Caenorhabditis elegans: one gene and its partner. The protein of the gene in region 1 interacts with the protein of each later gene in a pairwise test. Each region holds a gene or a part of one and is shown on either strand. Other genes may lie near its edges.

Region 1 (7,890 bases):
GAATTCAAATTTTAGTAATTTTTCCAAAAATTTTAAATATTTCAGCGGGAAATTCGAATTTTCAAAACAAAAAATTTGGCGCGAACTTCAAATTATTTTTAATATTTTAGCGGGAAATTCAAATTTTAGTTATTTTTCCAAAAATTCAGGCGCGAAATTAGAATTTATTGTGCGATTCTGAAATATGCTGAAACCAAAAACGAAAAAACAAAACTTCAAAATACATTAAGCAAAAAAAAATCAATGGGAAAATGTCATCATAGGTAATACAAAAAAATAATTTTTTGGGAGTTTTCCAGAAAAACGGGCGGCTTTGAACAATGAGAATTTGGAGCAAGAAATTGGTGGAAAAAATCGGCGGTAAAAATCGGAAAAATCAATAATTTATCGTTAAAATCAATAAAAATCAACGTCGACTATGCCGATCCCTGTCCCCCCGATCCCTCCGACGTTCCGAACTTCTCGACCGTTTTCGACGGCGATCCCGTTCCGAAGATCGGCTTCTCGATCGGTGATTATGTCGTGATGAAGATTGCTCTTTTTCACGACTTTTCGATCGTTTTTTGCTCTTTTTACTCGATTTTCTCTCCTTCTCATCGTCTCTCATCTCTCGTTCTCTCTTCTTTTCCGACGACGATTTTTCCGATTTTTTATTATCGCCGTTTTTTGAATCTGAAAATTTGAATATTATTTCCGGAATTTTGTGTGTAGATTGTGTAGTTCTATGTAGTCTAGAGAATGACTACAAACTACAAAATCACATCAGCCTCAATCAAGGTTCAAACTACAAACTACAGACTTTTTGAAAGGAAATTTCTAAATATTTAGCCGAAGACTACAAACTACAAAATCAGCTTAGCCTAACCCAAAATAGTAAAATCCCAATATTTTGACTACAAACTACACGTTTGCGAGTGAAAATTTCAAAAATTCACACTTTTCATTTGTATTCTTTAAAAAATGAGTAAAATATGAAGAAATCTAGGTTGAGGCTGGGAAATATGTGTAGTTTGTAGCCTCAACCAATTCAAAAATTGGTTGAGGCTCACAGACTACAAACTACAAAATTAGAAAAAAAAAATTTTTTGGATTTTTATTTGGATTTTCAGAGATTTTATTGAAAAAAGAAAAGAATTTTTGAAATTTTTTAGATAAAAAGTGAGATTTTCCCGAAAAATCTCTGCTAAAGTGAAGAAAACTTGTAGTTTGTAGTCTCCGGCCTCAACTATTTCAAAAATTGGTTGAGGCTCACAGACTACAAACTACAAAATGAGCAAAGCCTCACCAAATGTTCAGGAATGTTCAGATTTTTTTTTGGATTTAAAAAATAGATTTTTCGAGTTCTAGAAGCGGTTTTAACTGAATTTTCAAAATTTTTCAGATTTTCCGAAAATTTCTGAATTTTTAATCCAAAAAAAGTGGAATTCCAGTGGGTTTTTTGGAATAAAATATTATTTTTTTTGGCTGAAAATTGGCGCTCCGAGACTACAAACTACAAAACCATTCTGTCCCAAAAATCCAAAATCCCAAATGTCCCAAAATCCCAAAAAATTTCAGTTCAAATTTGGCGGAAAAAAGTGAAAATTGTGAAGAAAACTTGTAGTTTGTAGTCTCCAGCGCGCCTCAATTATTTCAAAAATTGGTTGAGGCTGAGACTACAAACTACAAAATAACATAGCCTCACACAAATATTGAAAAAACATTTTTTTTTTGCAGATTTTCCTGAAATTTTTGAATTTTTAATTCAAAAAAGTGGATTTCCAGTAGGTTTTTGAAGTTTTTTGGCTGAAAATTCGCGCTTTAATAGACTACAAACTACAGAAAAACACATTTTTGACGCTAAAATCGGGGAAAAAATTAGCAAAAATGGTATTTTTTTCAACAAAAAGTGAATATATTTTTATATTTTTCATTAGTTTACCTTACCTGGAACGTGTAAATCATCAACACCTTCACCATCATCATTAACTGATGGTTTGACATCATCTGTCTTAACACTAAACTTTCGAGGGATACCCACGGGAGCCTTGAACTCTCCACCACCAGCTTCTGGTGTTCCTGCTTCTGCTGCCCCTGATGCTCCATTTAGCTCCGCCGAGCCACTGCTCTCCTGCCGTGGCTCCATGTCGTCGCCAACTCCATCGTCACTGCTGTTGTCACTATCCTCACCGTCTCCTGGAAAATTTGAAAAATTTGAATTTTTTGAAATAAAATTTCAAAAAATATGACATTTTAGCTCTAAAAAACGTTTTTTTTTTTAACTGAAAACTCAACTTTTTTTTTGCAAAAAAAGGCTTTTTTTATTTGAATTTTAGTTTTACAATTTTCGAGAAATTGAAAATTCACATTTTATGGAATTTTTAATCGAAAAAATTGAAATTTTTAAACTAAAAATTCTTTTTTGGTACATTGTTCGAAAATCGTTTTTTATAACGAATATTTAATTAAAAAAGCTTCTGAAAACCGATTTTTTCCAAAAAAAAAAAATGTTTTTTTGAAAACTTTTTCTGAAAAATTTGAATTTTTAGGAAAAAGAAGAGCTTTTCAGGAACTTTTTGAACACAATTTTTATATAAAATTAAAATTTTCTGGAAATCTAAATTTTCGCTATTTTTTTTTGAAAAATTCGATTTAAAAATCAAAAATTTTACTTTTTTTTTCGGAAAATCTCAAATTTTTCAACCAGAAAATTCGATTTGTTTCAAAATTGTAACTGTTTTAAATTTAAAAAAAATATGGAAAATTCGAAAATTTTAGAAAAAAGTTTTTAAAAAATGTGAAACTTTTGAAGACAATGTTGAAAATTTTCGTTTTTCGAATTTTTTAAATCAATTTTTAAAAAACTTTTTGAAATTTTAGCTCAAAAAACTCGATAAAATCGAATTTTTTTTGTTTAAAAAAATTTCGTCGAAAAATTGGAACAATTTATGAATTTTTTATGAAAAATTATACGATTTTCATAGCTTTTTGGAAGAAAATTTCAAAAATGTTAAAGTTTTCGGTTTTTTTTAAATTAAAAACTTGGAAAAAACTTTTAAAACCGAATTTTCTGGTCAAAAAAATTGTTTTTTCCGAATTTCGAATTTTCGCGAGCTTCTCCATACCAAAAGCCGCGAGAGCCGCCAACGCTGAGCTGTTGCCGATGATTTTCGGCGCAGTTGCCAATTTTTTCCGTTCAAATTGAAGTTTTTCGTGCTCACGGAGCTCTTCTTGTATTATACGCATGATGACGTCATTCGAAGACTCGAGGAGCACGTTCATCATTAGAGTTTTCACACAGCGTATCTGGAAAAAAAATTTCGAAAATTTTTTTTTTGAAATTTTTAAGAGGTTTTTCTCCACTTAATGGACCTTTTTTAATTTTTAATTCAATTTTTTTTTTTCAAAAGTTCTGTAGTTTGTAGTCTAACAGCCTCCAAAAACGCGAGCCTCAACCAATAGATTTTTTGAAATTTTATCAAAAATTCGGTTTTTATTGCATTTTTAAAGGTTTTGACTGAAAAATTCTGAAAATCTTGGGAAGATTTTAAGGTTTGTTTTCGAAATTTTTGTAGTTTGTAGTCTAGCGGGCATCAAAATTATAAAATTTTTGAAACAAAAAAATTTTTTTTACCCGAATTTCAAAACTTTTTAGAAAATTTTTTAAAAAATCTTGAAAAAATTGAATTTTTGAAAATTTAAATTTCTGTGAGGCTGTCTTAAAAATTGTAGTTTGTAGTCTGAGCCTCGACCAATTTTTGAATTGGTTGAGACTACAAACTACAAATTGTCATATAGCCTCAACAATGTTTTTTTTGTAAATTTTATCAAAAACTGGGTTTTTTATTGGAATTTTTATGGTTTACGCTGAAAAATTGAGAAAACCTAGGGAAAATTGTTTTTTTTTTTTAAATTCATGTAGTTTGTAGTCTAGCTGGCATCAAAAACGCCAATGTCTACTAAAATGTCTAAAATTTTAAACTTTTTTGAATTAAAAATGAAAAAAAAAACGATTTTTTTGCCGAAATTCAAAAGTTGTATTGAAAAATTTATTTTTTTTTCAAAATTTAATTTTGGTGAGGCTACCCGAAAATTGTAGTTTGTAGTGTGTGAGTCTCAACCAAAATATTGGTTGAGGCTGAGAGGCTACAAACTACAAATTGTCATAGCCTCAACCAATAGATTTTTTGAAATTTTATCAAAAACTCGGTGTTTTATAGGAATTATTTTTAGGATTTAGGAGTTACACTGGAAAATTCAGAAAATCTTGGGAAAATACAATTTAAAAAAAAAAATTTCTGTAGTTTGTAGTCTAGCCGGCTAAAATTTTCAAATTTTCAACATTTTTTTGAAATAAAAGTAAAAAAAGAAACGATTTTTCCTCGAAATACAAAAATTTCATTGTAAAATTGATTTTTTTGTTCAAAATATAATTTTGGTGAGGCTACCCGAAAATTGTAGTTTGTAGTGTCTGAGCATGAGCCTGAACCAACAAAAATTGATCAAATTTCGTCGGTTTTTTCTCGATTTTTTTAGCAATTTTCTCTAAAAATTCAGAAAATCTTCGACAAATTTTTGGTTTTTTCTCAAAATTTTTTGTAGTTTGTAGTGTGTGAGCCTCAACCAAAAATATTGGTTGAGGCTGAGAGACTATAAACTACAAAGCTGGATTTTTTTTTTCAAAAAATTGGTTTTTTTTCTCAAATTTTGAAAAATTTCCTCTAAAAATTTAGAATATCTTCGTTTTTTCTCAAATTTTTTGTAGTTTTTAGGTTTTTTTTTGCGGAAATTTCAGGAATTTAGAATTTCCCGTACAAATTGCTCTCGTCTCTCCTCCAAATCGTCTTCCGAATCATTATCATCTTCCTGATATTCAGATTTTCCATTACCAACAGGAAATTTCTCATTTTCCGGGCTCTCTTCATCCGACGAAGAGTCAAATTTGCTCTTTCCAGCTTCGGCTCTTCGCCGGGCTTTTTCTTCTTCCGCTTTCTTCAGCTTTTCCTCTTTTTCCCACTGCTTTTGCTTCTCCCGTTCGGCCTTTTCAAGGCCTTCCAGGATCCAGGCCGGCAGTTTTTTCCGGGCCTCTTTGTTCATTGCATACGGGTTTGTGGGCCCTGAAGCCATTAGTGGAGCCGGTGGAGGCACACCTTTCGGGCCAGCTTGGGCCGGGGGTTCCGGGGAATTTTGGTAGTTTTCGGGCTGGAAATCGGGCTGGAAATCGGGCTGCTGAAAATCGTGCTGGACCGAGGGGCTCTCCTGGAAAAAGTGCAGCTGCGGTGGTGGACGTTGAGGTGCTCCGAAGAAGCTTGGAGCACTTGAAGCCGCCGCAAAAAGTGGCTTAGGCTTTTGGGCCGACGGGAATAGGCTTTTCGGTGGTGGTGCCGCTGGAGCCTGAGGTCTTGGAGGCCCTGGGTAGTGCTCTGGAGGTCTATGTGGGCCTGGGGGGCCTGGAAAGTGCGGCCTTGGTGGCCCTGGCGGAAAATGTTGTGGTGGGCCTTGGAAATGATGTCCAGGCGGTCCAAAGTGTCCGTGGTGAGCTGGTGGAGGAGCTCCACGCCACGTGTCTGCTCCCTGTGGCGGTGGTGGTGGATATCCACGAGGCGGGCCTTGATTATGATATACGGGGGGCCCGGACGGCCCAGAAGGCCCAGGCGGCCCTCTCCACTGCTCGTCCCGATTCGCGGACCAATCGCCCCAATCCTGATGAGCCGGAGGGCCCGGATGACGTGGCTGATGCCACGGGAGCTGATGATTTTGAGCGAAATCGTGTGAATTTCCGGCTCGACGATCGTCTGTGTCGCGCATCGCCATCCATTGTTGGGCCAGCTGGGCCCAGTCGACTGGAAAATAGACGAAAATTAATTTTTAAATAAATTTAAAAAAATTTCGCGAAAATCTCGAAAAAAATCGATTTTTTCGTGTTTTTTTGCCAAATTTTTCGATTTTAAATTCAATTTTTCAATAAAATCACAACGCCATACCACTTTCCGCCGGCTGTGCCTGATGATAGTTGGTCCAATCTTCCATTTCCCTCGTTTTGTGATTTTCTGCAGGAAATATCGATCTTATTGGTTTTTTTTGGGAGGAAAAAGGTGGAAACTAGCATTTTTTAACAAAAATTCGAAATTTTCAGCTAGATTTTCTATTTAAAAGCTTTAAAAATGCGCTGAAAATATTCTAAAATAGAATTAAATCGAAAAAATGTCGATGGCCGTTCCTTTACACGAAACCTAGTCCACGGCCACGCGGCCACCGAATTTTATTGACGGCGGCTTTCTGTGTGATTTTCAGATACTTGAACGTGTTTTTTTGTTTGTAATGTGAAGAAAATGAATCGATATATTTAATTTTTGGAGAAAAGTGATTTTAAATTCCAGAATTCCTGCCGAAATCCGACGTTTTCCAATTTCGTGTAGAAACCCATTCGAGGGAACACAGCATGCGCCTTTAATGGCTACGGTAGGTTAATTTAATTTAATTTAATTTAATTTTTAGCAGCAATTTTCAACGATAATAGTTGTTTTTTGAATAATTTAAATTTAAATTTGCTTTTTTTTCAGATGACAGAAAGAAAACAGGATTTTTCCTGTCCAAACTACATGCTTTTCGGCGATGACTTCAATTTACAAAGTGGAATAGAGGTTTTTCCCCGAAAATTTCTGCAAAATCACTTTTTTTTTCCAATTTTTCAGGATATTTCCTGTTCCTCAAACTACACATCAGACGAAGATGGACCAAAAGTGCTCACTACAATGAGAAATATGTTTGCGGAGCAGAAAACCGACGAATATGAGCTGGTCTACGACAATAATTCGCAAAATGTGCCTCAAAATTGTTCACCGAAAAATCAATATTCGCCCCCGCAATCTGTGCAACAAGCTCATTATTCGAATTTATCACATTTTCATCCTAGAAATCCAGAATTTTCACAAGAAATCGTGGAAAATCGAGTAATTTCTCCAAAATCTGAGCATCCGGAAGAAATAGAGGATCACGAAGATGATGAGGATGGCCAAAGTGAAATGGTACTGATAAAAAACCCCGATTCTAACAATTTTTGCCCTGAAAACATGAAAAATCATCAAATTTCAGCCAATAGGACGAAAATTCGTTTGGTTGAGGCTCACAGACTACAAACTACAAACCGCAATCATTTTAAATAGGATTTTATTCAATTTTCGCTTAAAAATTAATTTATACTATTAAAAAACCTAATTTTCAGTTGAAAATCGTATTAAAAAATTCGTTGAGGCTAAAAAAATTGTAGTTTGTAGTCTGTTAGCCTCACCCAAAACATTTTCGACCAAAAAAAAAACGGTTTTCCCCAATTTTTTGTATAAAAATGAGTAAAAACGGCTATTTCATGATATTTATTAACTTTTTACGATAATAACCTTCAATTTTTACGAAAAAAATTGGTTGAGGCTAGAAAAATTGTAGTTTGTAGTCTGTTAGCCTCACCCAAAACATTTTCGACCAAAAAACTGATTTTTCTGCAATTTTTTTATATGAAAATGACTAAAAACTGCAATGTATTAAGCTTATAACTCACTTTTTCAATCCTAAAACACCAAAAACTAACGCAAAACTGGTTGAGGCTAAGAAAATTGTAGTTTGTAGTCCCTGAGCCTCACCCAAAACTATTTTCGGCCGAAAAAACCGATTTTCTCCCGATTTTTCTTATAAAAATGACTAAAAACTACAATTTCATGGATTTCGCCCAACAATTTCGAATTTTCAGAAGCACAATTGCCCGGAATGCCCGAAAAAGTACACATCGGAACGACGTCTCAAGCATCATATCGTTGTACACCGCAATCCGGACGCCTATAAATGTCAAAAATGTGGATATTGCTATCAGAGCCCAGATAGTCTCCGGAGACACTGGAAGGTAGCAAAAAAATCGAA
Region 2 (4,841 bases), on another chromosome or scaffold:
ATCAGCTGAATTGCAGTTCTGAAATAGTAAAATACAGATTTTTGAAATAATTTATAGAAGGATTCGGGGGGTTTTTGCTCGTAAAGACTCAAAAATGAGCTCAAATGGACGAATTTCGTAATAGAACTGCTCAAGAAATTTTCAAAATTTTGTATTTTTTATGCCGGTTCAAAATTTCGAAATATTATATAATTACACTGATTTTAGCTAAATGCTCGAACTTCGGCCATTTTTCCGTGTTCCAGCTGTCCGAAATTGACTTTTTTGGAATTGTCATCCTTTTTTTGCATATTTTGGTAGTTTATATCATTTAATTTCGTTTATTAAAGTACATTTAAAGCCTATAAGTAGCCAAAAATCATAAAAAACGGTTACCTATCGTCTTTAAATGTACTTTAACAAACGAAATAATATGAGATAAAGTACCAAAATATTCAATAAAGGACGAGAATTCCAAAAAAGTCAACTTCGAACCGCTGCGACACGGAGAAAAGGCCAAAATTCGAGATTTTAGCTAAAATCAGTGTATTTTTTCGAAATTTTGAACCGCCATAAAAAGTTTTTCAAACATTTTCGAGCAGTTTCAATACGAAGTTCGATTATTTGAGCCCATTTTTGGGGGTATACGTTCAAAATCGTCCGAAATCTTCCTTAAAGGAGGATTCGGGGGAATTTTTGCTCGTAAAAATTAAAAATGCGCCAAAATACACTAATTTTGAAGATATAATTCTCAAAATTTCTGAAAAACGGGCTAATTTCAGTTAAAATCTCCAATTTTATCAATTTTTCCGCGTTAGGACTGCTGCAATGCAGTTTTTATCGAATTTTCATATTTTATTTGATCTCACGTTATTTCGTTATTAAAAGCAAACACCAAAGATAATAAAAAATCGGATACCAAACCAAAAAAAAAATGCAATAAAGACTGTATTTATACTGTTGTAACGCAAAAAAAGGAGCAAAATTGGGGATTTTGCCTAACATCAGGTGTTTTTAATTTCGAAGATTGTCTCGCAACAGCCGGAAATCGATTTAATTCAATTATAATCATATTTTGCCGTTTTTTGAGGAATTTTCAGTCGATAGGCCCCTTATTCAGTGCCTTTGGCCTGAAAATGTATCTCAATCGGAGAAAATACGGATAAATTAAAAAGAAAATTAATTTGCGGTTGTTGTGACACCGATAAGTTGACGAAATTGGAGATTTTAGCTGAAATTAGTGAATTTTTTAAAGCATCTTGATTTTTTTCTCGTTAATTTCGGAATAAAAACCTTCGAACTCCAATATCGAATTGTTCAACGGCGCATAAAACTGAAGAAATGAAGCCTTTTCGTTTAATCATCACTTCGGCTAATCGTTCTCCTAATTCATCGGATTCTGAAGAATCGTCGTCTGTTGACAAAACGATTGCCATCGTGTCGAGCACAATTGTCATGGCTTCGGTGTTCATGCGATCTGTTTCAAGCACGTCAATGAATGCATTCATTCCCATTGTTCCGACGGCTAATCGATATTTCTGAAATTACACGTTTAATTTTAATTGTTTAATTTTAATAGTTCAAATGATTTTTTCTCTCACCTTTGCGACACCTTTCAGCCCTCTCAACGCATCTCGACGGTCTTCTGGTGCCGTACAAGTTTCTGCTCGTTCCACAAGTGTTTCTACATATTCAGCTCCATTATCCTCGTCTTCATCTTGCTGTCCGCCGCCAAAAAAGTTCCGAAACAGCGACATCTGCAAAGCTACACGTGGCAGTGAGCGGAAAATGGGATTGTCGTGTTGTTGAGCGAATATAAATGATAATTAAATGCATTTTTTAATTTAATTTATTTATTTCTAAATATTTTTCTTTATTTTCTGAATTTTAACATAAAATAAATGAAAAAAAACGGGAAAAAAAGAAGAGAAAAGTGGAAAAACCTGTCGTGGAATTGGAGGATGCGTTCTCAATGGAGCGCGCTTGCTGACTCTTTTCGGACTTCGTTTTTTCGCTTGCAGACGTTGACGGAAATTGCTCTGAAAAAAAGATCTGCTCAAAAAGTGAATAAAACAAATATTTCAATTGTTTTAATAACAAAATTTGCATATTCAACTGAATAATAATTATACTGAATTCAAGAATTTCAAAAAAATTGGAGAAAGTTTGGGAAACAGATGGAAATTTTCAATAAAATCGTCGAGAAAACATTTTCTGTCAAAATCCGGATTAAATCCAGAAAGAAGAGTACCAGCTGCCCACGAAAATTTCGGGTTTTCCCCCAAAAGAACAGTCTTGAGTCCTGACACGATCGAAACTTTTCAGCTAAATACCGTACACGTGGCTCAAGCCAGTGGTCACGGTGTTTTATTTTATACTCATACCCAACATTTTGCGATTTTTGCGCCAAAAATACGGTTCCTGGTCTCGACACGACTTTTTTTTTGTTATATTCAAACCAGGGCGCGCCTTTAAAGAGTACTGTAATTTCGAACTTTCGTTGTTGCAGGGTTTTCATCGTTTTTTCATAGTTCTTCGTTAAAAAAGGCTGTTTTTATTTTGTAAAAAACTGAAGTAAAACAATTAAAACACATAAATTTTAAGAAAAACAATGAAAAGTCGAATAAAATGCCGCAGCGACAAAAGTTTAGAATTACAGTACTCTTTAAAGGAGAGCACCCGTTTCCATGCAACGAAAAATTGTCGTTTTGAGACCAAGAACTACCGTATTTTTCGCGCAAAACACATAAAAATTGCAAAATTTCCCGTCTGGCTAATATCTTTAATAAATATAAAGCATAGATTTTTTATAAATTGACAGGCTATTTTCAAATATTAAATTAAAAAAAAACAAAAATCAGCGCTAATATGCTCAATTCAAAATTTTTTAAATTGAAAAACATTGGTTAAAAGTAGAAATAACAATAAATCAATATATTTTGCAACAACTTTACCTGAGGCAAATTGAAAAACGCATTGGAAATTGTCGTGTCACTGGAAAACGATCTAACTGAAAGAGTTGATCCGGTAATTGAAGACGTTGAATAAGCGAACATTTCGATTGAATAAAACTATCGGCTCAGAGAGTGTTAGAGTGCGTAAAAGTGTAATGTAGGAAGAGGGCACATTGAGTGAGTTGATCGGGAGAGAAAAGTGAAGAGAAAACGGATAGAATAACAGAATACTGTTACTTCAAAATGTTTTGATTACGGGTAATGTATACATTTCGATATATATTAGCTTTCAGGCAAATCAACAAATTACTGGAATTGAAATTTCTGGCAAACTTTATTTTATTTTATTTCAATGTGTTTCAATGTTCAAAAAAAGAAAAATTTCCGAATATACTTCAAATATAATTCAAATAAATGCCCAAGTTAGAGTACTCAGATAAATCGAACCACGCAGGCACCGCTCCAAACCACGCAGGTGACTGCCCACCACGCAGTCAACGCGTCAAGACCACGCAGGCAACCAAAAGCACGCAGGTGACGCCTAGGAACCACGCAGGCGACTTGACGGTGGGCAGCTATTGGCAGTGGCTGCAAAACCACGCAGGTGACGCCTACATACCATGCAGGCAGCCAACGTTCAGCCACGCGCGGGATTCCTAGGCCAATGGCTGCGTACTCCTCTTGGACAACTTTTTCTTCTATTTTTTTTTCCTAATTTAATGGAATTTTCCGTTTTTTTTCTTGCAAAAAGCACTTTTATATTAATTTTCAATTTCTTCATGAAACTCAATAATTGTTTTCAGGTAAATATGTCAACCCCGGCCCGAAAAACCCCAAAAGGAGGCCGAAAGCGGCGTGGCAATGGACTGGAGGCGCCGCATTCGATTGGTCGCTTCAACGTAAGATAAACTTTATTTTTAAAAAATATATAGCAACAAAATTTCAGAAAAAACCTTCGGAATCGTTCGTTCGAACTATGGACTGGGATTTCAAAGAGCTTAGGAAAATCGCGGAAAATTCCAAGTCAAAGGTGAACAGAAGTTTGGCAGCTGCACAAATTCTCCAAATCCAGATGTAGTTAAAATAGTTCACTTTTCAGACAATTCCTCCAGAGCTCCTCCACACCTTCAGTGTCCACCCAAATTCGGTGAATCATCAGATTCTTCAAGGAAGACTTCTCAATTGTCCTATCAGTAAGCTATTCTTGTCCAATTTTTTTTTAAACAAAAATTTTCAGGCGTTCTTCACAATATTCTACATGTTGTAGCCGGATTCGAAGGACAGTTCCCGAGTGCGGATTTTGGCGATGTTTTCTCCCGACAGGTGGATCAAAAATGGTAAACACCCTTCTATCAATTTGTATTTCCAAAAATCAATAATATTGCAGCTTGAACGCACGGAAAAAGATGAGCCAGGAAAAGGACACACCATCACACTGATCACTGGGACGAAAACAACTGCCTAATGGACTTAATTTTGTTTCCCACCTTTTTTTGTTGTTATTTTTGAGATTTTCGTACTTTGCGTTTTAGATGGTTAAACGGTAGGAAGGGGAAGGAGCGGGCTGCGAACTGCCATTGCTGCAAGACCACGCAGGTGTCGCCTCCAAACCACGCAGGCAACGCGTTGAAACCACGCAGGGACTGGCATTCTTGAGCGTGGTTTGTACGCGTTGCCTGCGTGGTTTGGAGCGGTGCCTGCGTGGTTCGGTTTATCTGAGTAGTAAATTTTAAGGTCTTTCAGCATATACCAATAATATTCCAGTAGGTACAAGAAGCTTCACGTAGTTACAGAAATAGTACATTTTCAGCCCTACCTTTTAGTGCGTATTTTATTATTTAATGAAAACTACCATTTATAGGCAAAAATAGATGAATTTTCCAAACTTTGAAAATTCATAAATCTTTT

The links. The genes of interacting proteins can lie anywhere in the genome.
Region 2: the proteins of rsy-1 (region 1) and uso-1 interact in a two-hybrid assay, tested with the Caenorhabditis elegans proteins (2 studies listed by BioGRID).

The regions. Positions count from the first base shown.
Region 1 is NC_003279.8:11,215,967-11,223,856, forward strand, and holds rsy-1 (Arginine/serine-rich protein PNISR), read right to left. Parts: upstream 6,030-7,890; 5' UTR 6,010-6,029; coding exon 5,964-6,009; intron 5,823-5,963; coding exon 4,795-5,822; intron 3,286-4,794; coding exon 3,105-3,285; intron 2,176-3,104; coding exon 1,927-2,175; intron 673-1,926; coding exon 407-672; 3' UTR 211-406; downstream 1-210. Other genes in the region: Y53H1A.2 (C2H2-type domain-containing protein), read left to right, coding at 6,433-6,441, 6,543-6,623, 6,675-7,007, 7,724-7,873.
Region 2 is NC_003282.8:13,451,764-13,456,604, forward strand, and holds the start of uso-1 (Uso1_p115_head domain-containing protein), read right to left. Parts: upstream 3,036-4,841; coding exon 2,934-3,035; intron 2,019-2,933; coding exon 1,923-2,018; intron 1,737-1,922; coding exon 1,581-1,736; intron 1,518-1,580; coding exon 1,273-1,517; intron 19-1,272; coding exon 1-18. Other genes in the region: Y38H8A.7 (uncharacterized protein), read left to right, coding at 3,743-3,832, 3,880-3,963, 4,033-4,126, 4,171-4,270, 4,321-4,372.